4 linked regions of the Daphnia pulex genome follow. The protein of the gene in region 3 binds, or shares a complex with, the protein of the main gene of each other region. Links are inferred from orthologs where the notes say so. Each region holds a gene or a part of one and is shown on either strand. Other genes may lie near its edges.

Region 1 (7,226 bases), about 1.8 Mb from region 3:
GATGAAATGATTAAAAGAGTGAGTGAATACATAAAAATAAAAACGGTCGTGCATGAGACATTTCCAATTTACCCGAAAGGACAATCTCGACGAGTGTATCGTCGGTGATCTCCGAGGCAGAGTTGATGAGCTGCAAAATGTTGGGTTTGGTATTGTCGTGACGAAAGAGGTTGACGCACTCGTTGAGTCGTGGTATGCCATGATCCAAGAACTAAAAGAAAGAAAGGATGAAAAAGGATTTTCAAAAATAAATAAGACATGGTAAAATCTAGACAATAGATCTGTGCATCTGCAGAGAGCTTGAGGGAGCTGATCATATGACAATGCGTTTACAAGAGCTTAGATGTTGAGTAAGGAAAACTTCATACTTTGTCTTGGCTGGATGAAAGGATCGCTAGATCCCGGTATTTAAGGGGATGTTGCATATAGCAGCGGGTAGGAAAATATCAATCCCGACACATTTCTTTTCTCCATTCCTTATGACCTCTATTCCGCATTGCGCTTCAGATCAGAAAAATCCAAGAAGATGCCACTTGAAAGTGTGTAGAAACGCTTCCGCAAGTCAAAACACGCTCTTGGCGCCGTGCAAAAGGGCCGACGGCTGTTCAGTTGGGTTGGGCTTACTCCCGCATCAACAACCACCGCATTGAAACATCCTTCGGGGGGTGGCAGTGGGGGGGTATCCTCCACCACCACCACCCAAAATCGCATCAACACTACTGCTGCCGCCGCCAGAATACTGAGTGCTAGAGCTCGAGATGATAGCTTTTTAAAAGTAACTCTCTGAGGAAAGAAAGAAAAGGGATCCCTGTTTTATATCTTTTGACTGGGGATATATTTTAGTATTCCGACAAAAGCCCAGTCAATGAATACAACGATCAGGGATAATGTGAATGGCCGACAATCGCTGCTGGCCAAATTGTTAGCCGACAGCGAAAAAAAAACCGACCCAAAAATTGAAGAAGACAACCGAATTACCGGGTCACGAAATTTTCTCCCACGACCACTACTATTAAGTCCCGATGACAAAAGTGGGCAGAGAGACGGGAGGGAGAGAGCAAATAACAAGGCTTTGGGCGGCTAAGGGACACACAAGTTGCAGAAGTCGGGAGGAGAGTTTGGTATCGATCGCGCTGCTGCAGCTGGCGGCCAAGTTGGTTAGCGAGTCGAAAAAGAGACGCACAAAGAAGAAGAAGAAGAAAATAAAAAGGGAAAAACACATTTATAGTGTGCTCGACCGTCCCCCTCCTTTTTTCCCGACCGATTGATTGATCACGCATTGGTGGTGAACGCTAAGTTTGTTGTTTTCTATTTTATCCCGTCAGTCTTAGAAATCCCGAAAACTTGAAGCATACGAAATGAGCGCAAGGCCTCATTTCGCCTGCTGTTGTTTGCTCCGACTGCTCACTGGCCGCGATCCAGGGATTGAATCCACATTAAGCCACACCCCCCTCCCACCGAGAGAGAAAAATACACAGAACCTCAAAATGGGTCAAAATCACGACTCGACGTGGTAAAGGAAACGGAAGTCTCGTGTTTTGGGGTTTGGAAAAGAACATTCGTTCATTTTTTCGATTTGAAAAAAGAAACAAACCACTATTTCTACTTCCACTATTGGAGAAAATAATATACAGTTGGGAAAATACTACAATCAAAAGAGACCACCGAGATTGACTTCCACGTTTTTTTACGATTACAATCCCCACCCCCTTTTCTGGCTCTTGTCTGTTTTTTTTTTTTTATTACAATTCCATTTCCTTCCTCTATATATATATCGGGAGTGAAAGGGGGATGTGCTCGAGTCGATTTGCAGAGTTGTGACGAATTCCGCAACGGAGCAGATGGCAGCACTACAGAAACACGAATAGAATAACAAAAGAGTTAACGGGACTGAGTGTGCGGGAGGAAGTCTGAGGGAGTTGTAGTTTGCAGACGTCGCCGAAGGCAACTAACTCATTAATCAAATCGTCTCGTCACATTCAGCTGAGATGGACGAGAAGGGAAATCTGGGAAAGTTCCCAAAAATAAAAATAAAAAAAACAGTCCTCTCACACTCCATAAAAAAGAGGCAAGAAAATCGAACAATAATAGTTTCGGCTCAGATCCAAACGCCAGGGTTTTATAAAGCGTGAAAGCATGATCCCGACAGTGTTGAGATGCTCAAGAATGGGGAGGGCAAAGCTCGTGCATATCCGTTTTGGAAATGTGCGTGATTCTTCTTTTTAGGCTCCTCCTACTAGACTCCCCAGCGGACGAGTCATTTCCCCCAAGGTCAACATTCTATGCGTGTGAGTGAGTCTTACAGACGAATCACGAGGATGGAAAAATAAAAGAATAAGGGGGCAACGAACATCAGCTACAACATCGTCGGTCCTTGTGACGGGGGTTCTAATTCCCATTGTTGTTGACCCAATCAAGAAAAGAAGCCCAGAAGGTTTTTTTCCTTTTTTCTATTCGTAGAAAGATCCGCCGGAAAAAGGAAATGAATCTGGAGAGGGCAAAAAAGGGCGAATTGCGTGAACAAACTGATGGGACTAGGATTCATTCGCCAAAATCCTGGATAGTAACACAGAAAACGTCAGCAACAGCTAAAAGCTTGAAAAGGAACGAGTTTCATCAAATATTTGACATGTCAATGCACAAGACATTTTTCCTTCCATCTCAATCATCCTAAATCCAATATCGCAACGTGGCTGCTGAAGAAATCGATTGGCCCCCTCTTGAAAAGAGATTATTTCTAATCATCCAACCTTATTGATCATTTAAAGCAGGATTGTGTCAACAGTTCCCAGTGGAAGTGGATGGGAAAATATGGAGAAAAATTCCGAATACAACAGCTTAGCAACTTAAAAGGCAAAAATATACACGGCAAACACACTTAAGCAACGACAGTGATGACGTAATATAATCAAAACAAAAAAGCTCTCTGGTTACTACAATAAAGGCGTTGTCAGGTGTATAGTGATGCATGGACGTGGAGGTAATTGGATCGGCGTGTAATGTTCAAAAACACTTACCCGTTGATTAATAAAGTTGCAGGCCAAATCTTTGAGCGTTTTCAGCGTTAACTGGGAGGCATCCGTGGAGATAAAGTCTCGTACCAGTCCAACTTGGAACATAAAGGTCACCTGACCATTACCATCATCCATGATGGAGCTTGGATCCAAAATTTTATGAAAAACACAATCACAATTATGGCGAAGTTTGACTTTTGGATGGCAGTGAAATTCGCACACACACAAAACTGGCCCTTTTTCGTTGGAATAGTCTGTGTGGTTGGTGTGTGTGTGTGCAATCAGGTGGGAGCAATGGAGTAAAAAAAAAAAAAAAACGGGTTCCAGCAACCAACAGGTTGATTGGAATGTCACATAGCCTCGGGCTGAGATCACCTTTTCTTTCGTCGTTCTCCCGCCCTGGCACCACTTAGATTTTTCCTTTTCTTTCTTCTTCAAAGAAAAAAGGTTGGGTTTTTACCTCCACTTGATTGCACGACAAAACTGAGCAACACGACTGTTTTAAAACCAACACAGATGGGAGCAGCACAACGCGTGATAACACGTTGGTGATGAAAAAAGTCGGTGCGAATAAGAGGGACTGGCTAATGGAAATGCCCAAACTAAATTCAATTAATACGCAGGTTTCCCAATCATGATGGCACACACAAAAAATTCACGTATAAACATCACACACACACACACACACACTAGCACACTTTACGTTCTCTCGAGAAATGCAGAAACAGACTCACGTACGTGTGTGTGTGTGTTTCTGACCGTGCAGCTCAAGTCACGATAACTTGGTAGTCTGCCGAGCTAATAAATACTGTCGCTACTCGGAGATCCGTCTTTGGCTTGCTCACAATTTTCTGGCCAAAAACAGCGTTGCCATTCTCTCGTGACTGAACGAACGAAATCCATGAAAAATACATATTCATAGCTACATTGGAAAATTGTGAATTTTTCAGGTCTTCTTTATTACAAATATAATAGTTGTTTTAAATTCATGGAGTTAAAAGTTATATTTTGTGTGATTAAGTAAATGGTTGCCATGGTAACTTAGAGACATCTGCAGACTGCTGTTGCCGACCCGTCAACCCCATGTATTTTTTACGATCACGTTGCTTATGCAGAAACAGGGCTGCGTTCTTAATCTGAATTATTGAATACTTTTTCAATCACAAAGAATTGCTTGCAATATTATTATTCGCCATGGAGACTGAAGAGAATAGCATTCGTGCTTTAAAGTGCGAACAAAGCGTACTGTCACGTGCAGATGGCTCGGTGATGTTTTCTCAAGGTAAGTTTAGATTTGTAACTTTTTCCACGCTGTTTTCGTGTTATTTTGTCCAAGTCGGTAAATTTTATTTTATTGACTTGTCATTTCAGGGAATACTGTGGTAATGGCTTCAGTTTATGGACCTTTGGAGGCTAAAATTCAAAAGGAACTGTCCGATAGAATGTACATTGAACTAAACTACAAGCCAAAAACAGGAATGCCAGGTTATTAATAACTTATCCTGTGTATTATTATTTCTGTAATATTGAATGCATTTTTATTTAGGTGTTGCTGAGCGTGGAAAGGAGAAACTCATCAAGACCACTTGTAATCACATTATTTTGACGAACCTGCACCCTCGAACAGCTGTCTGCATAACAGTTCAAGAAATGCAAGATGGTGGAACTGTAAGCACTTACCACAACAAATTTATTTTGATCAAGAATTAGTTGTTCACATTTTCCATAAACTAGTTGCTAGCAGCCTCCATCAATGCTGTGTGCCTTGCACTTCTTGACTCGGGTTTACCCCTGCAGTGTCTTGTAGCTGCAGTGACTTGTTTGGTAGACAAGAAGGATAGAATTGTCCTAGACCCATGCATCAGCACAGTCAAAGTATGATTTCCACTAAGAATTAACTAATTTTTTTCCCCCATTTTTTGTTGTTGTGCCTAACTTACTTTTTTCCCCATTACAGGAAGGTTATAAAGCAATGTTTACCTTTGCTTTTGACAGTCAAAAATACAACTTAATTCTGAGCCACTGTGAAGGCCAAGTTCCCTATCAACTTTTTCAAAAAGCCATGGAGCTGTGTCAGAAAGCCAGTCACGTCATCTTTGATTTCTACCGGCAAGCAGTACTACGAAAGTTTTCCAACGAACTTCTGTAAAACTTTCAAAAAATACACATTTTAAAGTTTTGTATATGCGACTGAAAACAAAGTATAATTGTATAAGTATAGGCTTGCTTATTTCCAGTATCGTTAAATTTCTTCGGAAAACCAATCCATCCTAATATGTCATGCGCATCTAGCAATACTCGAGTAATCACGTTCACCAAAACTATATCTAGAAGGTTTCCTGCCCGGAGCTTGGCTCCAATGCAATGCGGTACAATTTTGACACAAGTTATTTAGGTATAGTAAAAGTGCCGATTGTGAAATCAGAAAAAAAATAAACTTAACTTTGAAACAAACTCTTCTTAGAATGACATATGGTAGGTAGTTCTACCATTTTTAGGATTTATTCGGTCGGAAAATGTAGCATAAAGGAATTTCTTTTATGGTTATTCTGAAAATTTATTTCAAGGTGGTCTGGATATATCGAGTGCGATTTCAGCCTTTACGGTAATAGGCCTTGAAATGTTTTTCTCAATTAGAAAGTTTAGCCAATTAGGCTGTCAAGTCAAAGTCAACACAAATAAAGCAATTCTAAATTTAAGTCATGTATCACCTGATTCCAGTTTCGAGTTATTTTCCGATTGTTCCATTTCAGTAGCAATCGTAATCATGATTGTGGCTAAGTAAACGTTATCTTGTGTGTGGTGTCCATTATTAGACAAAAGAATCTAAATTGGTCAGAACACTTTGAAGAGATTAGAAATTATTAGTTGATTGTCAAAATGACTCAAATAATTTAGAAAGTGTCACTGCTTCGTTATTCGTCCTTTAAAACAATTTAAAATTCCTGTATTGTCCTACATTCATTGCGTGGCCCTGTGCTTTGTGTGCACGCAGATGTATATTATAATGTGATGCCCGTGCCACTTTGATCGATCCAGCACGATTCAGAAGGGGGGAAAAAACCCAGCACGAATTTTATTTTGAGTCGATCGCGTCTTAAGGGTTAGGGAGCTTTTATTAACTTTCTCGTTGATAGTTCGATGGTCACTATATACTGCCGGCTCTACAGAAAAACTAGCGGGACATTTCAAGGACGTATTGTCCCTTTTACTTTTTTATCGATTCCTTTGTCAAATTCTGAAATAAATTTTTTTTTCCCCCTCATGCGTCTCAACGAGGTTGGTCAGATCGATTTATTCGTAGTGTATATATACAGGAATAAGGAACTCAAATAAAAACTGGGTCGTCTTATATATATGTCCAAAGAATTTGTTGGAATCAATCAATCGGACTTTCTTGTGTGTACGAAAAAGTGTAATAACAAATTCGTGGCATGGCATATCAATAGAGAAAGGGGCGGAATTTTGATTGCATTTTTGTTGTGAGTCAATGACGAATAGCTGCAAAAAAAGAAAAAAAGAAAACGGGATCATGGAAGAAGAAGAAATTGACGTTGCTAGGTTATATTCTGGATGAATATTTGATTCCGGGGACGGCCGCGCGGATAGTTCAGCAGACGGTACGACTTTATTTGATGCTGGCCAAGGCCAGCGGGTGAAAACGCGAAGAAAGTCTTGAACGAGATGAATGAAGAGGAAAGCTTCGTCGTGAAAGCCATTGATAATGATATGATTTATCTCAGTCAAACATGAGAGAATGCCCACCGGAGATGGCGAGCTGCCCCAAGAGAAATCAACAGACAAATTAAAAGGCCATTGTATAGGTGAATTTCTAGTATATAAATACAATTATGCATTCAGCGAGAGAGCGACGAAACTTTACATATAGTGTACAGCAAGTAGGTTGAAAATACAAAGTGCGTATAATCAAACATAGCTTGTCCGCAGGCTGCTGTTGCTGGAAAACATTCGGTTAACAACATGCGTATAACACTGCTCTGCTGCTGCTGGTTCGGGTTCCAAACCGTATAAACAGACACGTAATCTATATGCGTCAAAAAAGGTGCCAACTCGTTGCTCATTCCAGATGGTACGTAAGAAAATAAAATGGATGCCTTTATTTAAAAACAGACAACAGATAGTTTTCCTTCTTCCACGAATCGCACGATAAAAACGCAGAATATTATTAAGCGAATACCAACTTCATTTTTG
Region 2 (7,437 bases), on a different chromosome or scaffold from region 3:
TCTGTGATTGATGTTATGAATAACTAACGGTTGATTGTCGCTTTCCTGTTACAGGTCCTGAAGGACTTGGTGAGCTCACCGGCGGACAGGATCCCGTCAGCGGCGGATTAAACGGTGGAACTGGCGGCAGTGGTATCGGGGGAAGCGGCGGAAGTGGATCAGGAGGAATTGGAGGAATTGGCGGAATTGGCGGAAGTGGAAGTCAAGGAAGCGGAATTGGCGGAAGTGGATCTGGAAATGTTGGTGGCGGATCTGGAATTGGAGGAAGTGGATCTGGAAATGTTGGCGGTGGATCCGGAATCGGCGGAAGTGGGTCTGGATCTGGAATTGGCGGAAGCGGATCTGGATCTGGAATTGGTGGAAGCGGATCCGGCTCTGGCGGCAGTGGATCTGGAAGCGGCGGAAGTGGAAGTCCCGGAACTGGTGGCGGATCAATTGGAAGCGGCGTCAGCACACCTCGCCCAACTCGCCCTACTCGCCCAAGTCTTAACGTTGGAACCGAATTGGGAACTGGATCAACTGCATCAACTGGCAGTGGGAGCGGCGGCAGCAACACTGGGCTCATTGGCGATGGATCAGGCGGAATCAGCGGAGGCGATCAAACCGGTCCTACCGAAAGTGACATCAACTGCGACCGTACTGGAACCTGTTACGATGGTAATCAATTAATAAAAAAAATAATAATACTTAACAATATTCGAATTTTAATCTTATCTTTAGTCGGAGTTCATTGTCGTGATACCAAGATCGAGGTTCTCGTTAAAACCAACCGGCCCTTCAGCGGGCGCGTTTACGCTCTTGGCCGCAGTGAAACTTGCAACATCGACGTCCAGAATAGCGACAGCTTCCGGTTGGACTTGACCATGAACGGCGGTGACTGTAACACCCAATCCATGTCGGGCATGTTCACCAACACCATCGTCCTCCAGCACCACAGCGTCGTCATGACTAAAGGAGACAAGATTTACAAGATTAAATGCACCTACGACATGTCGCCGCGCAACGTTTCCTTCGGCATGATGCCCATCAGGTATAACAACATCATAACCACTTCATTCCCTCTCCATCCGATCCTTATCTAATCTCTTTTTAATTAATTTTTGGGAAAACAGAGATCCGGACATGATCAGCATCACTTCCGCACCGGCTGCCCCACCTCCACGCATCCGCATTTTGGATCCCACCGGTGGCGATGTCGAGACTGTTCGTATCGGAGATCGACTCATTTTCCGCATTGAAATTCCCGGCAACAGTATGAAACGGAATTATCATTTTAATATTGCAACATGAAAATAACATCATTGTTCTTTTTTAAAAACTCAGCACCATACGGCATTTTCGCTCGCAGCTGCCTTGCCATGGCCAAAGACTCCAGAAGTACCTTCCAGATCATCGACGACGACGGGTAAGAATTAAATCTTGAATTAAATTGCTTAACAAAATCTAATAATTATTCATTTACTTAATAGTTGTCCAACTGATCCATCCATCTTCCCTCGCTTCGTTCCGGACGGAACTGCTCTGCAGAGCACCTACGAAGCTTTCCGCTTCACCGAGAGCTACGGTGTCATCTTTCAGTGCAACGTGCGATACTGTCTAGGACCTTGCGAACCGGTACGATCGTATACGCCCTATTTCAATTCAAATAATGTAATAACGAACCATTGATGGATTGCAGGCTAATTGCCAATGGGGAAGAGACACGATGGAATCCTGGGGACGTAAGCGCCGTAGCGCCGAGAAAGTTGAAAAAACCGAAGAGGACATGACCATGTCTCACGAAATCCTCGTTCTTGACTTTGGAGATGAAGATACGAAATTCAGCCACCGACAGACTGCCACCTTGCCGGCCAATTTCCCCAACAACAGTAAGATAGGCGGGAAATTTGAATCGGTCACGATAGGAATGAAATTCTAATTGATTTAAAAAATGTAGGTACTTACACAGTCCATGAAGAGACGGTGACCGTATTCAACAGCACTTGCCCAACAAAGACGTCCGTCCTGGCGTTGGCCGTCACATGCGCTCTTCTCTTATTACTGTACATCTGCACCGTGTTCTACTTCCTCATGCGCCGCTGGTTGGGACCCGACAAGAGCGTCTAAGATTACAAACCCATCTAATCAAGGTGGAATCCTAATATCTAAAAACACGGGACATTTTCCAATCGTGAAGCCCTCCTAAACATAATCGTTATCCATTCGTCGTCACGGAATTTCGCTAGATATTCATTGTTTCTATTTATCATTATTTTTTTTTTTTGTTAATTATTATTTGCTTGATTTGTTAAAGCAGCGCTTTAACATGACTTCCGGTTAAATCTTTTTTTTTTCCTTCCTTGGTGGACCTAGGGAACGGGGTCCATTAGTAATTTATTATCCTATATAATCTTTTTAGGTGTTTCAAAACTAGCCCAGGGCATTTTGTTGAGTGGTGCTTACGGCAGATCTTATCCTGGTTTTCTCTAGCACACTTGTTTTAATGTAAATATGATTTGTGGGGGGGATGACTTATAAATGAAGTCTACAAAATTTTAATATTCTTGGGAAACCGGTTGTAGTTGGAAACAAAAAAAAACCGCCTTTATTATCGAATGTTTCTTCGTTTATGTTTTTCCCTGCCCCAGAATAAAACTTTGTCTGCAGTATGAATAAACTGATCCACACCATTAATGTTTGGGAAATCGAATGTCAACTTCTGGTTCAGCCTGAGCCATGTTTATTCGAAAATTAAATTATTCTTTTTCCATTTCGAACTGCTTACGAACCATTAAAGCGATTTCTTTTATCTTGTCCGGTAGGAGAAGATCCTTGATCTACATAAAAGCATTATATAAGTTAGCATTGAATTATTTAGTTTCAATGTAAAAATAATTACCTCAAGCCCAGCATTTACGGAGGCTTCGTAGGCATGCATAATGCTGGTATCATAGATCATCATCTTGCAGTGCGCCAAAGCTGTCACACAATTCCTTAACCGGCTTATAGCTTGTCGATCGGCATGCGGAACTGTCTATAGGTTTCAACAGAATTAGCTTCCACGTGATAATGTACAAACATCGACTTTTTAGTACGCACCTCCAAGTTTTGAACAAATCCACCGGCGCCATCGTCAAGGAGCGTAGGGCAGATCCAAACAAATCCATTGTTACCCATAATGATACTTGCTCCGCAAGGCAAGTTGTGGAAATGAGTCTTCTGTCTTCGGATCAAAGATGGACTAACTTTTATTAGGCAACCTTGGGAAAGCTATAACAGATAAATGGTTGTTATTACAGTTAATATTTTAAATAACTTATTGTTATACTTTTCCATATTTCATGCTGCGGGTGTGTAAAGAAAGAGCTCCATCATTGAAGATGTTTTGAACCTCTGCACTGACCAAATCTCCTTCTTTCAGGTATTGCCTCATGGCTAATTCATCTTCTGCTGATCTTCTTCTCTAAAAGCATTATGAGATATAAATATTTGTGTAATTGCACAAATAAAAAGTCTTTCTTACGAGTTCACCACCAGGCAAATTGACTGACTGAAGAAGAAGCACTGAATCTAATCTTGCATTGGTGTCCAGTTTCCAACGTTTCTGTGAAACCTCAGTAACCCTACCAATTACGACATCTCCAATCTCCCCATGATAACGAGATTTCAAGGGTCTAACTGAAATAAGTTGGTTGACTCTCTCCACAACTCCAGCAACACTGGAGTACAAACAGTCATCTTGCATGTATGTTCCATGACCCCTTAGCAAAACATAAAATAAGATTATCATCAAGAAAATGGCAAAACTTTTAACAATCTACCTCATGAATCCTGTTTCCTTTGTGATCAAAGAGCCAGGTGTGACAAGATGTTTGGGTTCAGTAGAATCAGCGACGATATGAAAAGGAGGCACTTCAGAAGCAAGGCGAATGTCTACCATTCTTTTGGTTTTAATTATCCTAATGTATCAAGTTCAAAAAAAAGGAAACAACAGCACACTTGAAAATGACAATAATTCATCGTGTTCTGCTATACCATGCTGCTACGTTGCCTAAGCTATGGCGATATCAAAATATTTAAGAATATAAATATTTGTGGATATTCTTGTCAAAATGATATTGTGCAATTTAAATCGACTAATTAACTTATGTTCGAAATGGAAAATATAAAGTCAACTGAAATTTTTTTAACGAATCAAATAAAACATTGCGCGAATCACATTAGTATTAATTTTTGCCATCAGATGTCTGTTTGTTTATATGCCGATTCATTTCATTCGTCCGTACAAGTAAATGTCACTAATTTGCCAAAAAGCAATACTTTTTTCAACAACGATATGCGTTGCTGGGCGACAACGAGTATCTTGGCACTTCCTTCCCAAGACTGCTCGCAGAGGTTGGCAACGTAACCTTGTCTCGAGATCACTTCATCTCCAGCATCGTCCCGAAATGGAACCCGACAGTGATGAACAGCAGAGAACGGAACTGTTAACGACCCTTGAAAATTTCAGATGGCTCGGAAGTAAAACCCCTTGTTTCCCTGTGAACGGAAATAAGGTTAGTGTTCTAATAAGGTATTTTATTAGTGTCTTCTAGTAATAGTTGTAAAATTTTTTCTTAGGTTCGAGTTTTGTCTGATCCTGAAGATTTCTACAAAACACTTATTGAAAAGACTAGTCAAGCAAGTCAAAGAGTCACTTTTGCATCCTTATATCTTGGAACAGGAAATCATGAAAATGAGCTTGTAAAAACAATTGAAAGTACTTTGAAGAAAAACTCTGGCTCCAGCCTGAAAGTTCGAATTCTGTTGGATGCAACAAGAGGCTCTAGAGGTGCCCAATTCAATTCCCGTACAATGCTGCTTCCCTTAGTTCAGTCCTACAGCCAGCAGTGTTCAGTCCATTTTTATCACACTCCAGCACTTAGAGGATTATTAAAGAAAATTCTCCCAGAAAGATGGAATGAAATTATTGGCTTGCAACATATGAAGATTTACATATTTGACGATTCCTTATTAATCAGTGGCGCAAATTTAAGCCACGATTACTTCACAAATCGGCAAGATCGATACATAATTATGGAAGATTGCAAAGATTTAGTGGATTTCTTTGACCAACTAGTAGAAACTGTGTGCCAGTTTTCATTTCATTTAAGTGAAAACAACTGCCTTAACTTGAATTCCGCTTTTCCTCACCATCCGTTTGAATCCAATCGGCTTGAATTTACAGAAGAAGCAAAACGGAGAATCAACAACTTGTTTGAAAAGCAAATAAAAGCAAATGTTTCGTCCTCGATATTTCAATGGCCGAATCCGTCTGCTTACGACACCTGGATCTTCCCTTTCGTCCAGATGGGGCAGCTAAACATTTACATGGATAACATCTTGACGCGCGAGATTCTAGAAAACGTACCGGCAAACGCCGAATTATGTCTAGCAACCGGGTACTTCAACCTGACTCAGGACTATATGGATAGTTTGCTAGAAGCGTCCCAGCCAAATGTTCACATTCTCATGGCACATCCTCTGGTAAGCCCCTATCACCATTCAAACAAACGTTCTCCCATTTAATTTGATTGATTTATTCCCAATAGGCCAATGGTTTTTTCGGGGCGAAAGGATTCGCAGGTGGAATCCCATCAGGTTATACTCTACTGGCTTACCAATTTTATCGACGAGTGGTTGATCGAGCGCTGGAAGCTCGCATTCGATTGTGGGAATATCAACGACAGAATTGGACTTTCCATGCAAAGGGCTTGTGGATCTCTTTTAATCGAGGAGATCCTCGACCCTCTTTCACTCTAGTAGGATCTCCTAACTTTGGTAACATGTTTTCGTATTTTTGTCAAAAATTCAAACGACTGACACTTTTTTGGCCCGTAGGATATCGTTCTGTTTATCGAGACTTGGAAGCGCAATTGGCAGTAGTGACCATCAATCCTACCCTACGGGATCAGCTTCATCGAGAACGGAGAAATCTCTTTCAGCAAGGCGACCTGGTCAACGGTACGACTTTTGATCACCCGGATAGAAAGATACCCTTGTGGGTTCGCTTCGTCATCAAAGTTTTTCGGAGATTCTTCTAGTAAACAAACAAACAACAGCAAAGTAATCTTAAGACGTTGTTGTTGTTGCACTCCCGGTGATCCGATCCATTTGTTTGTTTTTGACCTCCGTGAATAACGATGGAGTGAGAAATAGAAATGCAATTCTCTTTACATAATCGTGAGTTGCATGTTTACTACTTTGACGAACCTAAATTCAAGAATTTTATTGCTCGTATCTTTTAGTGAAAGTAAAAGAAAAAAAAAAACAATTTGACGGTTGCATTCATCGTATTTACTATCGTATTTACATTAAACTAAATGATTTTAAATAATGAAAGGCATAACCCAGCGTTATTTCTAACCCTATAGCGTTTTTCGTGAATTGGTGCCGACCGACAGTTCCGTACGACTTTGAAGGTCAAAAGCTGAAAGAACCATGAACGAAATGTATCTCTTTTGAAAAGAAACAGTCATCTCAGCATTTATTGACGGACAACAAGAGTTTTTAATGTTAACATCTATTTTACCGTTATGTCAGCGAAAGTAAAAGATAGCACGAGCAATAGTAGCTGGTAATCGATAGTCCGAAGACTTGGGGTCCAACGATAAAATTATGGCAGTCCAATACTCCAATATTTACTTTAACTCTTACTACTAACAGCTTAATTAAAAAAGAGTGAGAGTTCCGCTTGCAACTCCAACTCCAATGTTATGGAGTAGGATCATGTACCCAAATATTCGTTGAATAGTTTATATCTAGCTCATATTACATTGTGATTAAGAGTTGCTTACCCGACATGTATTTGTTTTCAATCTTAGCCCATAAACAGAAATGAAACATGCATATCTGGGTTTTCTCATCTCTCCCGTGTAATGGAGTAGAGTAGAAATCCTGACGTGTTTATTGCAACGGTAAAGATTTCGATTAGAGAACTGCTGAAATTTAATTAATTAAAAGTTAACTGTGCGGTAACAGATTGAAGCCAGATCTAGTTGTATACGAGCAAACTTCACCCTGTTACAGTTATTTAATGTCCCAGTTCGGACGGCTACGGATATTCAATTCGAACAACTGTAGTGCTTTTAATAGAACTGGAGGATATACGGCTCGAACACGCAACCTGACACGTGACAGCATTGTATTCTGCCGCGCTCCCAACTGCGCTACTGCGAGGCGATACCCTGAGCGAAGTAGCGAAGACAGGAGATATGTTTCGAAAAATAAAAAATACATTTTTTGAAAAAAAAACCTTGGTGAACATAAATAAATCTAAATGTATATGTTTTCATTTTTAATGTTAATACATTTCTTGCGATAGCGTTCAGTGCTCCCGTGGAAGGGAGCGTTAAGTTCACGGAAACCGATAACCCGTATAATAAACAACTGTAATTAAAGAAAAAATTGGAAGAAAAT
Region 3 (7,920 bases):
AGCCATGTTTTCATCCCTAAAGACTATTAAGCTATTTAAGTCAATATATCTAAATACAAATAGTCAACCTGTAAGGAAGTGTAGTTCTTTATCAAAAACTAATGTTAAAGTAGTAAAAGTAGCTAAGAATAAATGGAGTATTTTATTTGGAGCTTCTTTTGCTGTTCCTGGGATCTGGTATCTTCAAGCTGACAACAAAAAAAAACGCAAAGTCAGAGTAACAGTTCAAGGAATAGGAAGGTTCTTGAGGTACTATAAGCTAAGTTTTTATTTATGGAAATCTAGCATAATTAAAATTTTATTTCAAGATCCCTTGTGATAGGAGTAACCATATCAACAGACTATTGGTGGTCATTGAAAAATGTTGATGAAGACTCTGCTGAATATCAGGAAGAATTAAAGAAAACACACCAAAGAACTGCAGACCGAATTCTGGCTGGCTGTCTTGGGAATGGGGGATTGTATATCAAACTTGGACAAGGCCTGGTTTCCATGAATCACATTTTACCAAAAGAATATCTTAATACACTTAAAGTGCTTCAGGACAAATGTCTTGCTAGAGGGGCCACTGAGATTGGGCAGTTGTTTGAAGAAGAATTTGGGAAGAACCATAAAGAATTATTTGAGGCATTTGATGAAGAACCTATTGCTGCAGCTTCTTTGGCTCAAGTATAAATATAAAGTTGTAATAGATTAAGTAATAGACTGCATAGATTGCAGGGACAGGTGTAAATAATCAGAATTTTTGATCAGGTGTTTAGGGCCAAATGCAAAGATGGAAGAGAAGTTGCTGTAAAGGTTCAGTATATTGACTTGCAGGATCGGTTCAATGGTGATATTGCTACAATCGAATTGCTACTAGAACTGATCAGTTGGATGCATCCAAAATTTGAATTTAAATGGGTTCTCAAGGTACGAACGAAACAACTAGTAAAAATCATGCTATTATGTATTAAGGTTAAAGATATGTTTGTATATTTAATGCAGGATCTGAAGGGTACTCTTTGTAAAGAACTCGATTTTGTCAATGAAGGACACAATGGTGAAAGATGTGCCAAAGAGTTGTCATCGTTGCCTTATGTTTATGTCCCAGATGTCGTTTGGGATCTGACTAGCAAGGTAATATATGCACTAATTTCACTTCGTTAGGGTATATTATAAATTTTTTTTAACTGTTTAGCGAGTCTTAACGACAGAGTTTATCGATGGGATTAAAGTGAGTGATACAGGCAGTCTAGAAAAAGCAGGATTTTCAATAAAAGATGTTAGCCACAAACTGGTTGAAATGTTTGCAGAACAAATTTTTCACACTGGTTTTGTCCATGCTGATCCACACCCAGGAAACAGTAATCAAAGAATTGGTTCTTGTTGTTTCAGTGAGACTCTAATTACTTATCTCTTTGTAGTCTTAGTTCGTCGAGGGAAAAAAGGCGACGCACAGATAGTTTTGCTGGATCACGGATTATATGAAGAGCTTCCGTCTACTGTTCGCAAATCTCTTTGTCGTTTGTGGTCTTCAATAGTGCTAAACGATCACGTCGGAATGAAGCATCATGCCGCTGCCCTTGGAGTGAATGGTTAGTAGTTTCTCTTTCTATTATCAGTATTTCCGTTGTCATTTGAAACTTCGTTAGGCAAATTTTTTCTCGTAACAATTTTGAAAGTTGGAATGGGTTTGTATTATGACTAGATTACCGATTGTTCTGCATGGCCGTGTCACAGCGCTATATTTCAGCGCCACCATGGCCAACTGAACACGATTCAGTGAATCAGGTCTTTGCTTCGTTTTACGATCACAAGGGGCCGAAAGTAGGAGAATGGCAGAAGATGACAACCGAACAACGTCAAGCAATTCGAATTCAAATGGATGAAATTCATGAAAGGATGATGGATAGCTTCCGGGCCATGCCTTCTCAATTGATGCTCATTTTTAGGTATTTAGTTGATTGCAGTGTTGGTCTGTTGGTCTAGAACTAGGTCAGGAAGCGTACAACAGATTCTCAATTTTGCTGCATCAATACGTTAATTTAAGAATTGTTTTAAAATTGAAACTTTAAATAAGATAAAACGAAGAAACTCTTTCGCGGTCTTTTTTGTATAGACTATTTGCTCTTCGCTGAAATGCTTCTTCAAAGACCCATCGGAAATCAGAAATTCGCTTTATCCAACTTAAATCAACTTTCTGAAACTGATTTGAAATACATGCAAGAAATGGCGGGGCAGCGTTTCGACATGATCATGAATAACCTTCGTTCCATGCCAAGAACAATGCTTTTAACTATTAGGTAATACTGGATATTGAATTAACAATAAGCTGTAATCCTTAGAGAGCTGTGTGATGCAGCAAAATTGATAAATTTGTATCAGCCTACTGGTTTTAACTAAGGGCAGCTTTCTAAGTTAAAATTAACAGATTTATTTTATGTTTTGTTTTGTTTTTTCCTTTTTTTTATAAAGGAACATAAATACAGTTAGGGCAATAACCAAAGACCATGGCAGTCTTGTCGATCGTTATACATTGATGGCCAGAAGTGCTACTCGAGGATTTTTCATCGTACCTGGTGCTTCATTTGGTCAACGTCTACAAGGAGTCTTGCAACAATTTCTATTTGACTGGCGATTGTGGTAATTTTAAGATGTCTCTTTCATTTACGTGATAACTCAGTGAATTTTTTTTAACAGGTGGGATAAAACACAGATGAGGCTCACCTTTTGGGGCCTTCGTGTGTTATTTTGGCTTGGTCGTGCACCTGATATGACAATTGTCGTACAAATGGTTGAATGATTTCATTAGAAATTGTATTTAGTAGCAGGACACAAATGTCGCGTGAAATTTGTAATTGCAAGAATTCCTTTGAAATATTCAATTATATATCCTTTTGTGTTAAAAGACATTTACCGCATGAAGCCAACTTTTTGGGATACTTCCAACGTTTCTTCTTCTAGGAGCTTTTTCATCAAAATTGTGTTGACCACCGCGCCTACTTCACTTCCCGTCTACTCAAACAAGAAACATTAGACTGCGGGATTGTAAAGAATAGAAAAATTTCGAACCTTGAGCATTGACACCAGGCTGTCTGGATGCAAACTTCCGGAGCCAATTTTCCTAACGGCAGTAACTTTTTTATTGCCTGAGACCGCCACAACAATACCAGAAGAGCTGCAGCATTCTTCTTCTGGTGTTGGATCTACTAGGTAATGGTTTCCAATCTGAAAGTGAAAACACAGTATTCGACTAAATATTTCAAAATTAAAACTTTAACTTTCAAACCTTCATCAAAGTCACTACACAAGGAATGTTCTCTGTGTTCAGTCTCTTGGTATCATAAGGATCATCAGAGAGCTCCAGTTCAGGTTGATCCCCGTCCATAGTTGCTACTTTAATAGAAGGAATTTGTGTTGCATAAAGAGCCGATTTCACAGCCAATGAAACTGCATCATAAAGGTTCCCTCCACATTCAAGAATCTATTTTAATGCCATAAAATATTTCATGAGAAATTGTTGATTGGTAGAAATATCACACCAGCATTACCAATATGTCAACATACAAGACCCAACATTGCTGTCCTGTCAAGACAGAAAGTTCAGATAAATTAATTGTATCACCTGAAGCATAAGATCTTTGAAGGAATCTACAAATTTCATTTGCCAGATCTTCTCCACCTCTCCCTTCAAATTCTGGTGTTGCATTTGCAGAGCTAAATTAACAAAAAGTACTATTAACATAAAAACTTTTAAATTCTATTTATATTTATTGTTTAAACAGACCAATCCACAAAGAACTCCAGCCTTCCTTCTTTGGGCTTATCAGGTAAAGGGGAAGCTAGCTCTACTTTAACTCCAACAAGAATATCAGAGTTTGCAAGTCTCAGCCTTGCCGATCCACTGGCATTTGAAACTAATCCAGTTTCAAGAATTATAGGGCGATAATCCAGCCTTGTTCTACCATCACATCGTAAATCATCCTTGGATATTTCAAAAATTGAATTTTGTTAAGTAAGGACAATTTATTTTTATAAGAGCTGATTGATTTAAGTATTACAGACCAAAAAATTTTACTGGCAAGACCGACAGAATTTAATTATACCTGGACACCATGATGAATGAATGCTTTCTCAGCTTCACTTAAAAGTATTTCTGCCATTGATATGGAGCTCAAAGGTAACCAACGATACAGAAAACAGTAACAACTAACAAACGCAGATGACTTTAATCAAAATACCACGGGAATGTAAGTAAACTGTAAACCTTACCAGACCTTACTAGTTTTCAAGCTAGTATGTTTGTATATGTCTGCACTCGACAGTTGTCTGCTACATTAGGGCAACGTTGTCGGACATCCGTCAGGTTCAGATTCTAAAGACAGATTTAATTGGTTTATTTATTTGCCAATTGCGTTTTTTTACTACAGTACGCACATTGATTGCACGCCATTTATTTTTACATTATACATGATTTTATGCGTGTTACCATACGTTTTACATTATACGTGTTACCATTTACCATGGGCATGGAGAGACCTCTCCAAACCCTTGGTGTTACATAAACATTTGGTATTCATTTTCATATTGGTTATTGATTGTAGACCCACCCCCCAGCAACGTCAACCTCCAGAAGGAAAGGCCAGCTTTTGCATGTCCTTGACGCTCGAAGGTCATGGAGATCATTATGTAAAACTTGTCATGCAATGGTGTAGAGGTTGGGTGAGAACGAGACGTTTTACACAACCATTTGGTATTCATTTTGATATTGGTTGTTGTAGACCCATCCCCAGCAACGTCCGACCTGCAAAAGGAAAGGACAGTCACACTTGAAGGTCACGGAGATCTTTACGTAAAACGTGTCATGCAGTGGAGTAGAGGCTGGGTGAGAACGACACGTGTAGCATCATTATCAAGCAGGTAAAATAACCGCAAGGCTTAAGAGGTGAGGGTGAGAAAAAATCGTATAAAAGGCGAGAGAAAAGGCGAAGGTAAATCAGTTGAGGGAGCATCTCCGACACGGCAACAACTGCAGCGCTCTGTCTGTCAATTCGCATGGTAAATATTCTGTCTTTTACGTAGAGTTTGGTATCAATCCTTCTTTTGTTTATGTATGCCTGTTATTATGTAATATTTATGTTAAAATTGCTAATTGTCTAGCAAACTATGGCGTAGTGCTGCTGTTGTGTGTTGAATCATCGATGGCTGGGTCGACCACTGGTGTACCGATGTCTTCTTGGTATGGCGGATACCAAACTGCAACGCCGCCGCCTTACTACCCAAAAGCAACTTACGCAACGACCAGTTACTGCACCGAGGTCTTCAAGTACTACACCACTAAAGCACCGGACTTGAATAGCACAACTTACGCTGCCCCGAGCCACTACACTGCCGCCCTGAAGTATTTCTCTGCCCCGAGTTACTACACCACCAAGGCGACGGAAGATGACTACGCATGCTGCCCCATCCTCCGAGGCTCATACACCGAAGCTCCTAAGTATTACTCTGTTCTCATCTACTTATTGCACCGATTTTCCTAAATACTACTCTGTTCCCAGCTGCTACACCGAGGCTCCCGCTGATTACTACACCGAAGCGGCAAAGTACTACTCTGCCCCGATCTACACAACCATAACTGAGGCGGCCAAGTATTACGCAGTCCCGACTTGCTACACCAAAGCTGCTCTTTCGTACTACGTTGAACAGGAATACTACATTGATGCTCCAGTTCACTACACCACGACCTACGCTACACCGCAGCCCACAAGTACTACACCGAAGAAGCCGCCTACAACAACGTATGCTGCCTAGTTTACTACACCGAGGCTCCCAAGTACTACATCACTAAGGCACCGGATTTCTACACGTCTATGTGTGCTACCCCTGCCTAGTACACCGAGGCCCCGCATTACTACAACACTGAAGCGCTCAAGTACTACACTACAACCTGGCTTCCCCGAGCTACTACACCTACGTCCCGAAGTATTACTGTGCGTTAAAGGAGTCTTCAAAAAAAGGACCACCAATTGCTTTCTTCATCGTGTAACCGATTCGCAATCATGGGTAAATATTCTTATTTTTACATTGAGTTTTGTATCAATAATATTTTTTTCTATTTGTTAATATGCCTGTTACTATTTAATATTAATGTTTCAATTTATTTTGTTTAGTCAACTATGGCGTCGTGCTCCTGTTGGGCGTTGTATAGTTGATGGCTGGGTTGATTGCTGGTGTAGCGATGTCTCCTTGGTATGGCGGAAATCAAACCGCAACGTCGCCGCCTTCCTACTAAACTTACGCAACGACCGGTTCCTGCCCTGAGGTCTTCCAGTACTACACCACCAAAGCACCGGAGTTTTATACCACAACTTACGCTGCCCCGATTCACTACACTGATGCCCTGAAGTATTACTCTGCTCTGAGTTACTACACCATCTAGGCGATGGATGACACCACACGACTACATATACTGCCTATCCTACTACACCGAGGCTTCTAAAGTATTGCCCTGTTCTCAGCTACTTATTGCACCGATTTTCCTAAATACTACTCTGTTCCCAGCTGCTACACCGAGGCTTCCGCTGATTTCTACACCAAGACAGTCGAATACTACACCGAAGCGGCAAAGTACTACTCTGCCCCGATCTACACAACCACAACTGAGGCGGACAAGTATTACGCAGTTCCGACTTGCTACACCAAAGCTGCTCTTTCGTACTACGTTTACACTGATGCTCCAGTTCACTACACCACGGCCTACGCTACACCGCAGCCCCCAAGTACTACACCGAAGAAGCCGCTTATTACACAACTACGTACGCTGCCTAGTTCACTACATCGACGAATTTAAGTATTGCCCTGCTCCAAACTACCAAACTTAAGTTCATATGTATTTTGCAATTTTCATTACTATATCACCACTGCTCCGACCTAAACACCTAAGTTCTGAAGTATTTCTCTGTATTTGTGAAAGATTGCTGAAATACAAGATTAATTGATAAATCACATGTTTCTATTTTCTCCTTAAATACCTTCTCCTGCCGATAATTGCATGATGTGTGAAAATATTTCTGAGTGCTATATGTAAACTTATTGATCTTGCCAAATACACTGATAAAATATTCAAACTAATTTTTACATTTCAATAAAATTTAAACTCCTTTTTATAAATTATTTTCTCATTAAAATCAAAGTCCAACAAACTGAAAAATTCAGAAAAATTCAAAGTCCACCTTCCATTATTTCTGCTAAGTCTAGACTTTTGTTTTTGAAAAAAAATTTAAAAAAATTCCCCTTACACGAAATTTTAAAAATTTTATCGCGAAAAAGATTGATACGAATATTTTATTGCATACAAAATTTATTTTTATAATATTTTACATACATCATATACATTTTTCCTGTGGCCCCCAGGGGGGGGGGGCCTGTCGCTTTCTCTACCGCGATAATAACATGATGCAAGTTATATGCAAGTTATTATTTGTTTGGTGCAGAAAGCTTGTTTTATCTAGCAGTTCTCAACTGTTTCAAACCTGACATTGATCAGGTTGCCTCAGTCGTATACTGCATGATTGAATGAAAACTCAAAAGACAACAGATCAAACTTTAAACTCGGCAACACAAAATAATACTGGCAGAGCAATTTCATGGCATAACGACAACACAAAAATTTTGAAGTCAGGAACCCAGATGGAACAGCTCAGCTACAACAGCACAGCAACTTCTGGATTACACTGCACCCGCATGCTGCATACAAAGACTCACTCTGTCTTCGTCACACCTTTCACCATTTGGCTGCAACAAGGTAACCACCAGCATTAAAGAAGTGTTTGTTATACCTGTTCAAGAAAAGAAAATTATTTTCGAGAAACACAACTGTGTACACATGCATACTCATTATATAAAAGAATACATAGGGTAACAGAAAACTACGCAGTC
Region 4 (8,312 bases), on a different chromosome or scaffold from region 3:
ATTCCGTAACATACGACACTTGGGTTTCCTGATCGTCTTGGGTTTCATTCCCTGTAGCGACAATGTGAAGGACTGCTGCATGCCCTTAATCTTCTTGCTGGAGCTCATCGACAGTCGACAATAATCGAGGTCAAAAGAGCCCCCCTTTTCTGACTTCTCTTCTGGATTTCTCTTCTTCTCGACTCGACCTTTTCTAACTATACAGCAGGGGCAGAGCTAAAAAATTGATCGGAATTGATCTCCAGATTGTCAATTCGCTCCAACCACGATGTACTAAGAGCTACTCCCAGTACATCGTGCTAATAGGCGCTGATAGGGACGTTCGCCCGTGTGAACTCGGCGAAGATCGTATGGTGTTCGTGAAATCAAAATTTAACTATAGCAATACACGCGGCAATTATTGGCAATAAAATCTATCAAGATTTTCATCATTGAATTGGCAGATTCCTCAATCGTTTTCTCCATCCTCTTTTACGCGATTATAGTAGGCTAATATTTCCTCAATTATGTTATGATTATGAATATACTGATGGCTATTATAATTCAAGAAACTCTACAAATGGAGCGAAAAATCCATGCTAATTAAATGCATTGCGAATTTTTTATTTTTATTCATATTTTAAGCGCGGCTAATCGTTCAAACAATTTGGCAATTTTCGCGTTTCCCGGGCGTCTGAGTTGTCTGCTGTGAGTACCGTCAAAATGTTGGAGTGAGTCTTCACCTTCACGAGAATGTCAACAAGCAAGTTTGAAAAACTCTCCAGTGAAGCTTTTGGTTTGCCTTGTCACTCACTTCTCTCATCAAATCGTTTCTCATGATGATTGAAATAATTTAGAATTTTATCTTACAACGAATGTGCCTTATCTGGAAGAATTGCCCACTTGCTTGGAATTCTATAGAAATTATGTGGCTCAAAATCGGCCAGTGATTATCCGTAATGCTTTCAACAGCTGGCCGGCGTTATCGAAATGGAACATTGAATACTTAAGGTTTTTTCCCCATTCATACTATTGTTATTTATCAACTCTTAAGTCTTATCATAATTTGACATTTTTTTGTTATGTTAAAGGCAGTCTTATGGGACAAAAGATGTCACAGTAACCATCACCCCAAATGGTTATGCTGATGCAGTCACAAATGGACACTTTGTTCTTCCCCTGGAAAACGTGATGCCCATGAACCAGTTTTTGAAATCACTGGAAAACCCTGTCGTAAACAGGGTGCACTATATTCAAACACAGAACTCCAATCTCACCAAAGAGTTTGCAGAATTGATAGCTGACTCTGCAGACGAGATTGAGTGGGCCTCAACATTGTTTGGCACCAAGCCAGATGCAGTCAATTTCTGGATGGGAGATGAGCGGGCAATCACATCGAGTACCATTACTTCCATCAGTCAAAATATCATAAACTAATACAGATCATTTTTCCTATTCACAGTGCACAAGGATCCCTATGAAAACATGTACTGTGTCGTTTCTGGATACAAAGACTTCATTCTCCACCCTCCCACAGACCAGCCATGGATACCTTATGCAAATTATCCCAAAGCTAGTTACCAAGAAATCGACGGAGATTTGAAGATTGTTCCGGATGATGACGGAACCATTCCTTGGATAGATATCGATCCTTTGAAGCCCGACTTGACAAAATATCCCAAGTACAAAAATGCTCGGCAGATTCGATGTCGCGTTGAGAAAGGTGAAATGCTCTACCTGCCCTCGCTTTGGTTCCACCACGTCCGCCAGTCTCACGGCTGCATAGCAGTCAACTACTGGTACGATATGCAATACGACATCAAGTACAATTATTTCGAATTTGTTAAAGACCTGGTCAACTGTGATGCGTGATTTGCCAATAAAATGTCATTGCCTGTTGAACGCAGAGACGATTAAATTCTATGATAGGAATGTATTCTTGATATCTGGAAATCAATGGCACAAGACTAATCAATCCGGCGATGGTGAAACGAACGTAATGCTTTCTTATTAATTATTTATATATAAAAATTCCAAATCCTAGGATGTTGTTGTTTCTTCAGGAGAAGGTGTTGTGGTGGTGGTGGTTTTGAACGACTGAAAAGTGTCCGTGACCATCGGTTCTGTAACGGCTATTTTGGAAAAAATGTTCAGCATTAGAACTCTAAACCAGCATATCTAAAAAAATAGACAAAAACGTTGAAAGTAAAAATGTGTGTATACCTGGACGGAGAGCAGGATCGTTTAGATAGAAGAAAGTCGGCGACAAGGCGCAATCCACTTTGTCAATGTCCTGACATGTTAGCGTGGCTTGGTCAAACAGTAGCCCGGTTCCACACGTAAAAGTATGCGACACCACTCTGTATAATGCAATCGTGTTTTTTTTTTTTTTTTTCGTTTGTTTTAAAATTCTAAGCTCTCAGATATTTGGAAATAAGATATTAATCTTAGACTTGTCAAACGACTAGACACTCTGCTGGGTGTCGGTTACATTACCTGTTCTTTTTCCCAACTCCACAGGTATAGAATCGTCTGCAGCCACTGGACACGTCGGCGTAGAAGCCTCCGCCTCCGCCTTCCTCAAACGAGCACTTTTTGGCCAGAATGACTACATTGATATCCTTGGTCCATCTAATAAGATCACTCGAAAGACCTTACACCCAACTCAATTGTTCAATAATGTTCCTCCCTGGTTAAGAAGAGTAAAAGGAAATGAGCATCAGGTACTACAAAACTCAAAGATTTTAAAGAAAAGAGTAAATCTGACTATGTTGTTTCAAACTTAATTCTAGGTCCTGTTGCCCAAGATGAAATTTGTGCAACGAGAAGATTACCCCTCACTCATCCAACAAAGTGGGGCACGCTGAACTCTAGAATAAAAAAGCTTTACAAATATTTGAATACCAAAACAAAGTCACCCTTCTGGAAACATGCTTAGTGAATTTGTGTTTAAAGCAGTAATAAAAAAAATACATGAATAATAATTTTATTATAAATTGCTTATTATCTGAAATCTGAATGCACATTGTGTAATTAATTAGACTTCCAAGTTGAAAAGGCTCACTTTTGAAACAATAATTGCACTTCACACAGAATTCATGTACAGCAAGGTAACAATAAAGAAAAACGATAAGTCTAATCGAGAGGGGATATTACATGATGTTAGTCGTCGAGCTCGTTGATTTCCAGCTCAACGGAGAAGACGGCTTCCCAACGATATCGTACAGCTTCAATCTAATATGTTCAAAACATTAGTAGGATAAATAAAGGATTAATAATAAGACGGGACAAAACAAAGGAGGGAATCAAAATTTAATCACCAGTTGATCAACCGCCTCTCTAGTAGCCAAAGAAACTGTCCATTCGAGAAAATAATACCGGATCTGTTCCGGTTTGCTTACGATTACTTCGAAGTTTTCCTGAATAAAGAAAACAACCAAATGTAATGCAGGTGAAATAGACAAGATATTGGCCGTCATTTTACCAAAGAGACGAGATTGACAAGTTGCTGAAGGCTGAGAAGCGACCCTCTCCCCCTCCCACCCCACGTTCAAAACTGAACTTGATGGCTCGTCAGCCAACGAGGATCACCACATACTAAAACCATACGATAACTTGTGACCATCAAGGCTGTGTTGCTATAACTGGCCGTTTGCTGGTGATTTTTCTGTTGCTTACTATTGCCCCATTCGACCCGTCAGTTTACACAAAAGAGGAAGACGCGAGAATTGCTATCCGGCATGAATCGGGTACTCGTCCTCGTAGATCCTACACTACACCGTCCGTTTCACCTTCATCCGCAGATCCCGTCAAAACAGTGTCCTGATCTCCTCTGACGGAGTCCAATCAAAGCCAGCCATTGATCCGCCATGAGTACCGTCCTTAACGGCGGAACAGTAAATCCGGATTTCTCAAGAATATCTAAACCGCAGAATATTAGCTAAATAAAAGAACAACACAATAAAAATGATTTACCAGTGAGAAAGTGAGTCACGCGTTCTTGGTTCGTCTTTGATCACGAAGCAAAATGAGGTGAGACCAACTCGTTCCGAACTTCAGAACAACACCTCGGTTACCGATGACGATTAACATGTTAACTAGTTGATTAAGCGGGTAACTTGTTTCCAAACTGAGCCACTTTTCTGGCTGCTCACTGTTAATAGAAGCGAGTCGCATGATTTTATCCACAACCACCTCGACTTCCTTCTTCCGAAGTGTCGGAAGCCTCCTTACCGCTGATGGTGGGTGAAGACGGTTCATTGGATGCTACGATGACGTCACTGCCCGGAAGATTACTCGAGGATGGAGTTGATTCAGACCCAGACACGTCATTATTAGGAACTACAACTGGGCTTTGCTGCTGCTGCTGTTTACGACCTATTAACAAGGCATCAAATAAAACTGTTTGATCTAACACAAGAGAACTGCGTTACCTTTCAAAAGAGGAGAATAAACTGTAGAACATCGCAGCTGGATAGCCGCTCCAATCAAAGGGAATTTTCGGTCGCATTTCATGCAGCTCATATCGTCTCTCAATAATCGATCCTCTCTCTCCGGATTGGCAACTTTTGACGATGACCCAGAGCAGCTAGCGAAAATCTTTTCCAGCTCCTAGAACAAAGGAAAATTAGTAACAAGATTTGACATTTCAACACGTAAATGATAATAAGACATTAAAATCGTCTTGTTCCTTGCGTCGCTACTATTGCGAATTGATTATAGCACAGTTAAAAATCTTGAGAAAGATATGAAGAAAAATATTGTGAGGTTACACACCACTGGTATCACACTGAATGTTTTTTCTTTCGTGTGAATGGTCAAATGTTTTCAGACAGTTTAAGTATTTGTGCGGACATTACGGACGGGCCAGTTTTTCATCAGTGATCTCGTATGTTGACGTAAGTTGGATCGGTCGTAAAAACGTCACATTTAAAGGGCTTCACTCCCTGATGTTGCCAGGATGACGTGAAGTCGCAAATAATCACTGCCTAAAAATGTTTTCACACATGTATCACAATTCACAGGTGCTAGCTTGGTCCCATAGTACATATTCATATGTCATACCAAAACATTCTTGTGATGAAAAGACTTTCAAGCATCTTTACATCCATATTTTCTTTGGTGTGTTGTGTCACTAAGCTCAGGATATTCCTGTAAAGAAAATATAATTATTAATGCTAAACCGTTTAGCATTAATAATTGTGACATTTTATCAAAATTATAACCTTATTGAATGCTTCCAAGTTAAAATCATCATCTCCATTCTCATCTCCGTTGGAGCTCCCTTCAGGGTTATCTTCTGCTGCTTCCTCACTCTCCCTTTTTATGTCATCAAAATTTTCTCTCACCTCAAAGATTGCAGGAGGCTCATTATCATTTTTTACAGCTTGTTTTATCATCTACAATGAAATTGGGATCACTTTTTCTTGCCTGTTTAAAATACACATCAAAATTAAGTCACACCATATCCGAGTCCATCTGCAGTGTCACTTCTTTAAGCACCTGTCTTGCGATATGGACCAGGCTTCCAATCTTTGTTCCAATCTATAAGGTTTTGAATGCAATTTGAGATTTAGTATATCAATACATAATTATATATTCTTCTACCCTAAAAAGAGGAAAGGCTGCTCAAAAAAAAGGAAAAAAAAAGTGTCTTTGATCTTGGCCTTGCTTTTGTTTACAGCTGTCGTCTGCTAAAGCGGCGGTTAAGCACTTGAAGATGACAGTCGTAACGATGGCAACCAAACGCGATGATTACACCAGATAACACGTAGATCATGTTTTGATTGTTTTTTAATTAAAGAACTCGAGGAAGGGAGTTCGCCTTGCACCTTCGTAGAGACCTGACGTGCATTCTCTTCTCTCTCTCAAAGTGCCAGCAGACTCACGTACTCACCGTATATACGCCCCCCGCTTTATTCCGACAGACAAACACGCGCGACCCCCCCCCCCCCCCCCACAGGCCCCCGTGTCAAAGCAATTTCCGCGCCAGGTGCCACCAACAAAATGGCCGACCGTGATGCCCCACCGCGTTCGAAAAGACCGTGCAACTCAACAGACCACCCCCTCCCTGTGATAATCAAACTCATGGATGACCGTCCAAACTTCAAATCAATGTCCTTAGCAGAACGTGAGGCCATGCGAAAAGCCATTTGCACAGCCATTGGGGACCCCCGGGACTCCACGGTACTCCCAGGCGGCGACCTATCCGTCAGCCCTACTGACTTGCAACAACAACAAGTACTACTCAACATCAAGACCCTGGCAGGCAGACCAACATCTAGCACTCTGCCCACCCGGTCAACAGCGAGGAAGGTAGGAGTAATTTTTGGTATCCCGATAAGTGACGCGGAGGAGGAGATTCTGGAAGCTCTAGCAGACCAGCACGTGACACATGTCAAACGGCTCCCGATCCGCAACTCACCAGGCTCCCCCTCGACAACAGTATCACTTACCTTCTTGAAAGAGGTCCCAGACAGGATCAAGATAGCGTCAATCAGCTACCCAGTAAAGGTATCGGTACCAAACCCATACAGATGCAGGAACTGTTGGAGACTCGGCCACACCGCCAACAGGTGCAACGCTAATGGCCCTAACTGCAAAAGATGTGGCAAACAACAACACGAGACACACCAAGAATGCTCAAGAAGGTGTATTAACTGCAACAACGGAGATCATGAAGCAGACAGCGATCAATGCCCTGCATACCAACAAATGAAGAGCATTATTAAAATGGCCTACCTGGAGGAAATCACCATACAAGAAGCTCGATCCCGCCACGCAAATCTGTACAGCTCAGTAACCAATCGAACCCCCACCCCAACCAACCGCCCCGCACCGCCGCCAACCCCAAGGAATGACCTGACAACCCTACAGGACCAAATAAAGGCCATCCAACAAGAGATGTATACCATGACTGCAGCCACCATTCCACAAATCCAAGTAAACATCCAATCGCTGGCGGTCGACCTAGAAGACACAAACAAGAAAATTAGTAAATTCGACCAACGGTTCAGCAGCATTGATAAGCAGCAACAGATCAACATGCAAATACAGCAAAACAGATTTGACAGGCTGGAAGAACTACTAATGGGGAGAGTTACAGACAGGTCCCACTCACCCCCACACGTAACAGCGGACCCACTGAGGACTACTATGAACCCTAAACTGCTACACCACACAAATGAACAGAGCCCCATGTTCAGCACAACCAGCCAATGGCCAGACGACATGGACACAGAAAATGATAAGTAGACACACAGTACACCACTCACGCACTACCCCAAACCCAACAAATAATTTCAAATGCCTCCAGTGGAATGCCAGAGGGCTCACCAAAGCCAAACTAGAAGAATTCCGGCAATTCCTATCCTTAGTTAAACCTGAAATAATCCTCCTCAGCGAAACGCACTGGAAGAAATCTTTCTACGTTAAATTCAAAGCCTACCATATCCTCAAGAAGAACCGCCCTAACAGATCAGGGGGAGGAGTAGCAATTCTAATTAATAAACAACTTTCGTTCACCCCCTTGCCCCTTACCCCACATGACACCGTAGAAGCCATCGGCGTCAGCATCCTATCAAGAAGCAACTCAAAAATCGATTTCATTTCTGCCTATGTTCCCAAAGGCGACTGTGAAATGGCTGACGTAGCGGAAATTTTCAACAGACCCAACCCGGTGGTTATTGGAGGGGACTTCAACGGCCACCACGACATGTGGGAAAGCAACGCAACCACCAACACAGCAGGGAAGACCATCTTCGAAACCATCCTCAACAGCCAAGACATATGCCTCATAACACCTACTGATCTAGGTACAAGGATCGATCCGGCAAGCGGGAAAATATCCACTATCGATCTAACTATGACATCATCTGAACTCGCCACCTCAGCAACGATTTCAATAGGTCCAAGCCTAGGTAGCGACCACCTCCCCATAATCCTCACGCTCAACACGACCCCAGCTCGAATCTCAAGACAACCGCCCAAATGGATCATCAACGAAAACAAGTGGGCAGACTGGAACCACCTCCTAGACACCGCACTCATAGAACTCAAGTTCTCGGAGATCCAGAACCCAGAAGCAGCCACTACAGCTTTCATGACAGGATTGAACGGAGCAAACGAAAAATGCTTCAAAAAATCAAACCCATCACGGGCAAGAAACTCAGAACCATCGCGGCCCTGGTGGAACGCAGAATGCAACACACTAGTGAAGAACGCACGAATTGCACTCAAAAACTGGTGCAAATCACCTACATCGCTACACCTCAGAACGGAATGGAAAAAAGCCGAGGCCCTGAAAAAGAGACACATCATCAAGGCAAAAAAGG

The links.
Region 1: exosome complex component RRP42-like (region 3) and exosome complex component RRP46-like share a complex: the UniProt entries of both Homo sapiens proteins name them as parts of the RNA exosome core complex. The link is inferred for Daphnia pulex from reciprocal best matches to the Homo sapiens genes EXOSC7 and EXOSC5.
Region 2: exosome complex component RRP42-like (region 3) and exosome complex component RRP4-like share a complex: the UniProt entries of both Homo sapiens proteins name them as parts of the RNA exosome core complex. The link is inferred for Daphnia pulex from reciprocal best matches to the Homo sapiens genes EXOSC7 and EXOSC2.
Region 4: exosome complex component RRP42-like (region 3) and exosome complex component RRP40-like share a complex: the UniProt entries of both Homo sapiens proteins name them as parts of the RNA exosome core complex. The link is inferred for Daphnia pulex from reciprocal best matches to the Homo sapiens genes EXOSC7 and EXOSC3.

Annotation. Positions count from the first base shown.
Region 1 is NC_060020.1:3,910,008-3,917,233, forward strand, and holds exosome complex component RRP46-like, read left to right. Parts: upstream 1-4,059; 5' UTR 4,060-4,208; coding exon 4,209-4,296; intron 4,297-4,385; coding exon 4,386-4,499; intron 4,500-4,560; coding exon 4,561-4,682; intron 4,683-4,748; coding exon 4,749-4,889; intron 4,890-4,971; coding exon 4,972-5,163; 3' UTR 5,164-5,197; downstream 5,198-7,226. Other genes in the region: serine/threonine-protein kinase D1-like, read right to left, coding at 73-211, 3,018-3,149. UniProt on the Homo sapiens protein: Non-catalytic component of the RNA exosome complex which has 3'->5' exoribonuclease activity and participates in a multitude of cellular RNA processing and degradation events.
Region 2 is NC_060023.1:8,699,209-8,706,645, forward strand, and holds exosome complex component RRP4-like, read right to left. Parts: upstream 4,034-7,437; 5' UTR 3,920-4,033; coding exon 3,801-3,919; intron 3,741-3,800; coding exon 3,503-3,740; intron 3,443-3,502; coding exon 3,308-3,442; intron 3,250-3,307; coding exon 3,079-3,249; intron 3,014-3,078; coding exon 2,879-3,013; intron 2,817-2,878; coding exon 2,736-2,816; 3' UTR 2,703-2,735; downstream 1-2,702. Other genes in the region: uncharacterized protein LOC124197887, read left to right, coding at 55-657, 721-1,030, 1,113-1,252, 1,324-1,405, 1,470-1,614, 1,679-1,868, 1,937-2,106; CDP-diacylglycerol--glycerol-3-phosphate 3-phosphatidyltransferase, mitochondrial-like, read left to right, coding at 4,272-4,535, 4,600-5,505, 5,571-5,799, 5,860-6,062. UniProt on the Homo sapiens protein: Non-catalytic component of the RNA exosome complex which has 3'->5' exoribonuclease activity and participates in a multitude of cellular RNA processing and degradation events.
Region 3 is NC_060020.1:2,139,407-2,147,326, forward strand, and holds exosome complex component RRP42-like, read right to left. Parts: upstream 4,399-7,920; 5' UTR 4,255-4,398; exon of another isoform or gene 4,192-4,254; 5' UTR 4,146-4,191; coding exon 4,089-4,145; intron 3,967-4,088; coding exon 3,770-3,966; intron 3,700-3,769; coding exon 3,534-3,699; intron 3,467-3,533; coding exon 3,272-3,466; intron 3,211-3,271; coding exon 3,055-3,210; intron 2,998-3,054; coding exon 2,896-2,997; 3' UTR 2,786-2,895; downstream 1-2,785. Other genes in the region: uncharacterized aarF domain-containing protein kinase 5-like, read left to right, coding at 5-249, 309-669, 754-912, 988-1,119, 1,181-1,346, 1,407-1,577, 1,691-1,934, 2,458-2,625 and 1 more. UniProt on the Homo sapiens protein: Non-catalytic component of the RNA exosome complex which has 3'->5' exoribonuclease activity and participates in a multitude of cellular RNA processing and degradation events.
Region 4 is NC_060019.1:5,892,467-5,900,778, forward strand, and holds the start of exosome complex component RRP40-like, read right to left. Parts: upstream 5,673-8,312; 5' UTR 5,587-5,672; intron 5,586-5,586; exon of another isoform or gene 5,524-5,585; 5' UTR 5,443-5,523; exon of another isoform or gene 5,205-5,442; intron 5,131-5,204; exon of another isoform or gene 5,044-5,130; intron 2,969-5,043; exon of another isoform or gene 2,772-2,968; intron 2,703-2,771; exon of another isoform or gene 2,543-2,702; coding exon of another isoform or gene 2,476-2,542; intron 2,340-2,475; coding exon of another isoform or gene 2,203-2,339; intron 2,112-2,202; coding exon of another isoform or gene 2,020-2,111; exon of another isoform or gene 1,888-2,019; coding exon of another isoform or gene 1,887-1,887; intron 1,882-1,886; exon of another isoform or gene 1,852-1,881; coding exon of another isoform or gene 1,442-1,851; intron 1,379-1,441; coding exon of another isoform or gene 1,071-1,378; intron 991-1,070; coding exon of another isoform or gene 837-990; intron 776-836; coding exon of another isoform or gene 733-775; exon of another isoform or gene 664-732; intron 1-663. Other genes in the region: bifunctional peptidase and (3S)-lysyl hydroxylase Jmjd7-like, read left to right, coding at 733-775, 837-990, 1,071-1,378, 1,442-1,851. UniProt on the Homo sapiens protein: Non-catalytic component of the RNA exosome complex which has 3'->5' exoribonuclease activity and participates in a multitude of cellular RNA processing and degradation events.